Nothobranchius furzeri: one gene and its partner. The protein of the gene in region 1 interacts with the protein of each later gene in a biochemical or structural test. Links are inferred from orthologs where the notes say so. Each region holds a gene or a part of one and is shown in the gene's direction. Other genes may lie near its edges.

Region 1 (3,819 bases):
TGACCCAGATATTCACACCCATGCTGAGAAAGGCTTAGTGCAGACAGATGTAGCCAAGTATGTCTGCTCGCACATGAAAAAGCAAATGCACAAACACAGACACATGGATATTTCTCCTCTCGCATCGTTTTCCACTCACTCAGTGGCAGGATAACCGATGGTTCCAGTATATCAAGACTGCATATCATTTGTCCAATTAGTTCTATTTTTACGCTTGTGCACATCTTTTAAGGGTTTTTAAGAGTATTCTTTACCTCTGTCTTCTGTGTCCCCCTAGTCTTGCACAATGCAAGCTAATAAAATGCAAAGTAATTCACACGGAACATACTGGCGGAAACCATTTTTAGTATTATGTAAGACTTGAATAATGGAAAAGTCTGTGTCCACTGAGCCCTGACCAATATCCTTCTGTCCACCAGCTTCCTGACAAATGCCGTGCAAGCTTGGAATTGGCCAAGAGCACAACTTTTCCAGTTATAACTGTTTCCAGATTATACCATTTCATTTTGTTTTCAGACCAGACTTTCTAGCACTAGAACGCAGTTAAAAAGTCTTTTTCTTAAATAATAAAGTAAATTTAGATTGTGTTAGTGCTGAAATAATGTTTCTAATATATTTGATTGACTGTAAAAACTCTTCTCCCATCAGCTGTATGTCTCATCAGAGAGCCGTTTCAACACATTAGCAGAGCTGGTGCACCACCACTCCACCGTGCAGGATGGACTCATCACCACTCTGCATTACCCAGCAGCAAAACGCAACAAGCCCACCATCTATGGAGTTTCTCCCAACTATGACAAGTGGGAGATGGAGCGCACTGACATCACCATGAAGCACAAACTGGGAGGGGGCCAGTATGGGGAGGTCTACGAAGGTGTCTGGAAGAAATACAACCTCACTGTGGCTGTCAAGACACTTAAGGTATGAACAAAGGACGGGAGTTAATGTAGCTGTGCCCGGTGGAAACATTGTGAATCTGACTAAATAATGCTGCCATCTGCTGCAACAAAGAAGCAACTGCACCCAGTTTACAGTTTTTTTTCTTTTGGTCAAATCTGCAGGAAGACACAATGGAGGTGGAGGAGTTTCTCAAAGAGGCTGCTGTTATGAAAGAAATCAAACACCCTAACCTTGTGCAGCTGTTGGGTATGTTCTAAATACATGTGCATATGAAAAATTCTCCAAATGTCTCACTAGATTCATTCAACACGGCTGTAACCTTTCATGAAATCTGATTAAGGAGGCATCAAAGTCTAACTTTGTTTTCGTTTTTTATACACGTTGCTGGCAGGTGTGTGCACACGAGAGCCGCCGTTCTACATTATTACAGAGTTCATGACCCACGGAAACCTGCTGGACTACCTAAGAGAGTGCAACAGAGAAGAGGTCAATGCCGTGGTGCTGCTGTACATGGCCACTCAGATCTCTTCTGCCATGGAGTACCTGGAGAAGAAAAACTTCATACACAGGTGGCTAAATTCAATTATAGAACAACTGAAGGGTCATTGATGCTGCAACATCCGTGTGTAGATGGTATTTCACATATCTTTATCCTACTAATGGCAGTGAGTTACCATTACCGTTACCTACAGTGTCAGTGTGTTACATAGAGTCCTATTAAAGGGATACTAAGCAGTTTTGCTTGCTTTTAGCACCCCCTTGTGTCAGTTTACTCTCCTCCTCGCTTTGCGTTCATCTTTTTAACACTTCAATCTACCAGCTGAAACGTCTGCCAGCGGTCCTAAGTGTCTACAGGAGTGATTCATCACTAAATTAAACAAATCAGCTGGGTTCATGATCTAAAACATGCAGGAAACATGATGGAAGCAGACTGCTGCGTCAGGTACCTCAGCTCATTTTTTTCTAAAGTCTAATTCATACTTCTGCATCAGCTCCACAAGGGAGAGACACGCACGCACAGACGGAGACTGTTTGCTTTCATACTTTCCGTTTGCTGGGAAGTGTCACAAAGCAATTCCCCGCCAAGACAACAGAGGGCGTAGCGCTGTTCTGGGGTATCCTTGTGTTAGTTTTATTTCATACTTTTACACGGGCAAATTTGTCCGTCGTTCTCCTCCACCTCTTCATGCACTCACCACCTCTAAACCCATGTTTCCCGTCATTTCCGTCCACAAATTAAACACTTGCTGCGCATCTTTTCACTCCTCCAGTCACGGGGGAATAAAACGTTCATATTTTTAGAGTTTTTCCACAAAGTCTTCTTCAAGCTTCTCTGTGTCTGCCGCTCGATATCCTCGGCTCTCTTTGTTTTTGAGGGCGCAGTGGTGGGGTTGTAGACGACAGCAGCGTCCTAACCAATCACAAGCTTGCGTTCTCCGTCTCGTCGAACAGATGTTTAGAAAAAAGCTCAACTCCGCCTGTCCTTACGAGGGATCTCCAGCAGGCTTGCGAGGATGGATAATGACGTTGCGTGTCTCCGTCCCGGCGCAGACGAAGTCTAAATTAGACTTTAGTCCCAGCAGACCGGACCAGCAGCTGTGATGTTGCAAGTACAATATTCTGGCCACAGGGGGCAATAGGGGCTGGGTGGCCTTTCATTAATCCTGTAAAGGGTCATTTTAGCACATACTGGCAGAGGAAAATGATTTAAAAATATGAAAAAGTTGCAAATTGTCCCTTTAACTAGTCTTTATCCTCAGGGACTTGGCTGCCCGCAACTGTTTGGTGGGTGAAAACCACCTGGTGAAGGTTGCAGACTTTGGTCTGAGTCGCCTAATGACTGGAGATACGTACACCGCTCATGCTGGTGCCAAGTTCCCCATCAAGTGGACTGCTCCAGAGAGTTTGGCCTACAACACATTCTCTAATAAATCTGATGTTTGGGGTAGGTTTTCTTATTTTTTTATTCCCCTATTACATTATCTAACTCTTCCTGTAAACTCTTTATTTTTGTCTCTTGATTAGCATTTGGTGTGCTGCTGTGGGAGATTGCCACCTACGGCATGTCTCCTTACCCTGGCATAGACCTGTCACAAGTCTATGAGCTGCTGCAAAGAGACTACCGCATGGAACGACCTGAAGGCTGTCCAGAGAAGGTCTACGAGCTCATGACAGCTTGTGAGTACAAAAATCCAGCCATTTTCTTTTCTTCAGGACATGTTTTGATGCATATTCCACTTTTCCTGTCAGGTTGGAGGTGGAACCCTGTGGAACGGCCAACTTTTGCTGAAACACACCAAGCCTTTGAGACCATGTTCCAGGAATCCAGCATCTCTGATGGTCAGTGCTGCTTCTTATCATCAGAAAAACAATTAGTGTTGAATTATAGATATCCTAATTAAAAGAAACGAATCACAGTGGTATTTGAAAATGTTAACACATGATCTGTGTAATTACAGAGGTTGAGAAGGAGCTGGGGAAAAAGGGGAAGAAGACAACATTAGGCTCCACCCAGCAGGCTCCAGAGCTGCCCACCAAGACCAGACCTTTCCGCAGAAACACGGAAAACAGGGACAGAGACAGTCCAGGTGGGATGCACGTCACGTTCTCTGGTTGCTTGTCTTCTTTATGGTTGATTTATCTTTTTAGTTCTGGTTGGGCTTCAAGGTGTTGGACTTATTTCCACTTTCGGAACTTCTGGGTAATTTTTTACCAGACCTTCACAGTTTTTTTGCGTTGCTCCATTTTACTGGGCCGAGCCGAAAGGACTGCTTTCTAAGCCATTCAGTGGGAAATAATTCTATCGGTAGACGTCACCAAACAGCTGGTATTTAGAAATTGGAAGGGTTTCTGGTGAAGCAGAATGGAAGAAAAAGAAAATAAGCCGCGTTGGTACTGCTTTAAAGTTGCTGTTTCTAG
Region 2 (4,517 bases), on another chromosome or scaffold:
TTATAAAAATTCAACAAAAATACAAATCTGGTGTAATTTTAGATCTGAAATTAATCATAGGAATAAACATTCATGTTAACCCATCATTCATTACTGTACAGCATTATTAAAACACTTTAGATTTAAAAGCATATTGTAGGTACCACAGAATATGATTGTAACAACCTGTCAAGTAAAGATTTTATGAGCCAAAAAAGCAAACTTTATTAAAAGGATTAGATCAAAAGTCTTGTGTCCTCAGAGGGCTCTTGGTGTCTTGTGAATAAGTTAAGGATACTGTTCAAGTTACTCATATCGAAGAAATTTATAAAGGATTGTGATTATGTTTACAAATAAGTTTATAAGTGTTTAGTAAGTTATTAAATGACCATTTACAAGGTATTAGGTACTATATATATAATTTATTACAAATAATCAATATTTAAGCATTTACAAATGCTTTAGAATTATTTATAACCCTAAAAACAACAGTTAAACTATACATTGTACATTTATCGGGTAACACTTTACAATAAGGGTCCTTTATTAACGTAATGTGCATTATTAGTATTATTAATAAGCTATTAAATAAAGCATTAACAACGGCTTCATATTAATGTTAATAAAAAGTAATGCAATACTTAGTGAGAAAATATCTGCCTCTGACACGTTTATATTGCCTAATAAAACAGAAATTAAAAAATATGTGAATTCTTTTTTTATTGCGAGATTCCGGCTGCTTTGGTGTGTTTTCTGTCTGTCAATGATTTCTTTTCAGTAAATTTCTTGTCTCAGATCATTCGTAGCTTCTGCTTATTTAGACAAACAAGCACTCAAACGTTCAAACAGGAATTTCTTTAATTAGTTTTATATATAACATCTATATATGTTTTGAGAACTGTGGTGGAAATGTTTCACCGAACTTGTGAATTACACAATAAAGAGATAGAACTTATGTGTTTTCATATTATTTATTACCAAAGGCATAAATAGTGTTTGGGTCTCGCTCTATGAAGATCACAGAATGAGCCCAGAACCAAGGATTACAGTCCAACAAGACACAGGCACATGATGACAAAAGCAAAGTACAAGAACTTTTCATAATTCTGCCCACCTCCCTATATCTTCCTCTTTTAACAGACGCAGCACAATGGCAGAATGCCTGCAACTATAAAAACAACCTTGAGTGAACCTGCACTGCAGACAATAATAAACCATGATGTCAAAACAGTGCACGGCATACATAATTTTCATCCCAGAACTTATTCCTTTCATTAATTCACTGTTTTGTTTTCAGGATATTTTTTTACTTTAAAATAAAGATTACTAAACATAAAAATTATATTTGCAGAGTTGTAATACCACCTGTTCTTTCAGAGCCTAGCTCAAATGAACCGGACATGTGAACACACGTTGGTTTATTCAATCTATCATGCTTTTTAATCTTTTTATCAGGAGAATTTCGGAAGGCTTTGAGTTTTTGTTTGGTATTTTGGGCCTTCGTGCGTGCCGTATGAAAACAAACTACGTCAGTTTGGAGCGAAACTTTTCGAAAGCGTTTGGCACGATGGGCAGCTATTTGACTTGCACTCTGGCTAAAATAACCTGTTATATCTCACTAGTAGTACCTTAAAGAAGCTTTGAACGACGACACTATAAGCAGACGAGGAAAAATGGACGGGCTTGAAATGTCTGCGATGATTCCTGCTCTTCAAGAGCTAGCTAGGTGAGTAGTGTTAGCCAAAAGCTAAGTGGCTAATCGTTTGTTTGTTACTGAGGCTTCACTTTATTTCTTTAACTATCACTCTTTTTATAAGTTACATCGTTTATCTGTTTGCAGTGCCAGCGCTGCTGAGTACGAAACAGCCGTGCAGAAACCTCGACAGATCCTCTGCCAGTTTATTGACAGGATACTGACTGACGTGGACGTCGGTAAGTCATTACTAACGGGGGACAAAAACCGAACCAACAGAGACCATTCAGCGCCAAATAAAAGCTCGTTTTCCTTTATTTTTCCTTTAGATCTTATAAGGTTATTAGTTTTAATAATAATTTTAGCACGTGCTCTTAGGTGGGGAGTGACCCTTGTACCTGAACAGGTATTAAACAATTTTTGATAAACCTAATGGAAACAAGTAAATAAAAAATGCATCGCATACATAAACCAAATGTTTTACAAACTGTTAACTTTATAGTGGTCATTTATTCATTCATTTAAAAAGCAAGTAAGAAAAGAAAGAAAAAAAGAAAATTATCTTTTACTTAGCGCCTCTCAAGATAAAAATCTTGAGGCCTTTCACAAGAACAAAAAAATTCAGAATGCCAAAAATCGTGAAAATATGGTTAAAATTAGAAGAAGAAAAAAGTTTAGAATTGTGATTAAAAGTGCAAGGAAAGGGAAAGAGAAAATGAATAGGAAAGAGGGGAATCAGTGGATAATTTGGCACCTTAGTCCATCTTAATTAAAGTTGTAATATTCTGCCTAAAACTCCGTGTTGCTTCCTCTTCAGGTAAAAACTGCACTGCATTTGAATTTACATCTGCCGTTGCTATTGGTTAAGAGGTACCCTATGACATTAGCTGGTATATTATGATATCACAACGCTGCTGTGTGTGTGTGTGTGTGTGTGTGTGTGTGTGTGTGTGTGTGTGTGTGTGTGTGTGTGTGTGTGTGTTAGAGGCTCTGCCCTTTCGGTCTGCCAGGCCTGTCCTTGTGGTGCACTTTTCAAACAGGAAATGGGAGAGGAGTTAGACTCTGGTAGGGGGTTACTTGCTCTTTAGTCAAGTACTGGTTGTAAGGGTTGAAAACCATATTTGTCTGTATATTCTGGTCATTTTTGTTTTTTACATCTTGGAACACAACCTGCAAAACTATCAGTCAAAAATCTTCAGAAGTAAAAATAAACCCACATCATGTCAGTTATGTACCTATGTTAAGAGAGTAACATCTGATTGTCATTTTGTTTTTTTAGATGTGTGTGTTTATTTTCTAAAATCCTTTTGTAATTTTTTTCTAATATCACTCAGAGATGTTTCTGATTTCCAGACTTGTTAAACACAGCCCTCTTCTCTTTTTTTAAGTTGCTTTAGGACTAAATAAAAAGTCCAGTTCAGAGCCAGCATGTGTGATGCTGCTTGACTTTGTGCAGCACATCGTCAAATCCTCGTCCCTGATGTTTGCAAATCCTGCCTGCCAACCTGCTGATTACCCAGACACCGTACAGAGCTGCACTGGTACTAAACGACACATTGTTGAAAAGTTTCACACATTATGAAGAAGCCAAAAACATAACATTGTCTTTTTCTTCATATTCTGCCTTGATTTCAGATTTCAGTAAATGGGTGATGCTGCATTTGCTTCGTGTGGCAGCAGCTCCAGGCTGTGATGTCATTCACGGGCGCGTCTCTGCCGTATTGTGCTCTTTACTACACACTCTAAGAGTCAGGATGCCGTTCATCTTCAGCTGCCTCACCGAAGAAGTCATATCATTGACCCAGGAGCTTAGCAGCATCCTGCACACTCACATAGTGACACTGGCAGGACCTGGACACAGTGTGGGTGCACACATCCAGGACAGATGGCCTGTGAAGCTTCAATGCTTCAGCATCAGTTCCATTCGTGCCTCCGTCTACCTCACCCCTACTCTCCTTCTACTCTCCTCTCCTGCTGCCTTGGAGTCGCTGACTGCTGTGACTCTCAGTATCACAAGTGACTCTCTGAGAGGAATCATTTCCTGTCGGGACCTGAGTTTGTCTTGGGACACGGCATGCTCCATCTTGGCTAACGGCAACACCAGGCTGAGGAAGGTCTCCATGGTGTTGCTGAGGAAACTGGTAGAGCTGCAGAGGTTTCCCGAGATGCAGTGTCACAAATTTTTCACGGCCTTTTTTCATTTGCTGGAAACGCACTCCGACACATCCGCAGCAAAACACTCAAACGAGAGCCAACCCTATGGAGGAGAGCTGATCAACTTAACCCGCTGTTTGTTTCAGTCGTCCCACATTTCTCCCTCTGACTTTGAGTCCATCTACCTCTCACAGATGTTTGAGTGTGTCTGTGCTCTTGGAGGGGCAGGAGTTAAACTGGGGTCAGAAGTTACTGAATCTGTTTGCCTGCTGTTCCGTTTTTTACTGTCTGTGGCTGAGATTCATGAGAGTGCTGTGCTGCTGAGGAAGCAGAGGGTCACAGATGTCTGCAGAACCTTGGCAGCCACCATTGGGACAGAAAATCAAGCAGAAGTATGAATCTGTTCATTATTGTTAAATTTTTTAAGTTTTATTTATTTATTATTCCTTCTACCACCTCACTGCTTGGGGTTTCCAGTGTGCAGAAGGGTTTCTTCAAGCCGCACTGAAATCTGAGACAGCGACAGTGATGCAGGAGTCGGGAGATGGAGAGAGTTCTGCTAAGAAGTCCCGCAAATCTGCCGTTAGTCCAGTCAGCAAGGCAGCGTGAGTCAAACATGAGTAAGAAGTTTAACTTTGTCATAAACCTGCATTTCTTTAATGTTTAAGAGATTGTGTTTATATGTCCGTAG

What was found.
Region 2: of the proteins of abl1 (region 1) and atr, one has a biochemical effect on the other in vitro, tested with the Homo sapiens proteins (2 studies listed by BioGRID, with this or other methods). The link is inferred for Nothobranchius furzeri from reciprocal best matches to the Homo sapiens genes ABL1 and ATR.

What each region holds. Positions count from the first base shown.
Region 1 is NC_091746.1:53,702,856-53,706,674, forward strand, and holds part of abl1 (tyrosine-protein kinase ABL1), read left to right. Parts: intron 1-648; coding exon 649-921; intron 922-1,061; coding exon 1,062-1,146; intron 1,147-1,291; coding exon 1,292-1,469; intron 1,470-2,660; coding exon 2,661-2,845; intron 2,846-2,925; coding exon 2,926-3,078; intron 3,079-3,150; coding exon 3,151-3,240; intron 3,241-3,359; coding exon 3,360-3,488; intron 3,489-3,819. UniProt on the Homo sapiens protein: Non-receptor tyrosine-protein kinase that plays a role in many key processes linked to cell growth and survival such as cytoskeleton remodeling in response to extracellular stimuli, cell motility and adhesion, receptor endocytosis, autophagy, DNA damage response and apoptosis.
Region 2 is NC_091758.1:22,151,664-22,156,180, forward strand, and holds the start of atr (serine/threonine-protein kinase ATR), read left to right. Parts: upstream 1-1,500; 5' UTR 1,501-1,652; coding exon 1,653-1,705; intron 1,706-1,819; coding exon 1,820-1,911; intron 1,912-3,060; coding exon 3,061-3,213; intron 3,214-3,307; coding exon 3,308-4,218; intron 4,219-4,303; coding exon 4,304-4,431; intron 4,432-4,517. UniProt on the Homo sapiens protein: Serine/threonine protein kinase which activates checkpoint signaling upon genotoxic stresses such as ionizing radiation (IR), ultraviolet light (UV), or DNA replication stalling, thereby acting as a DNA damage sensor.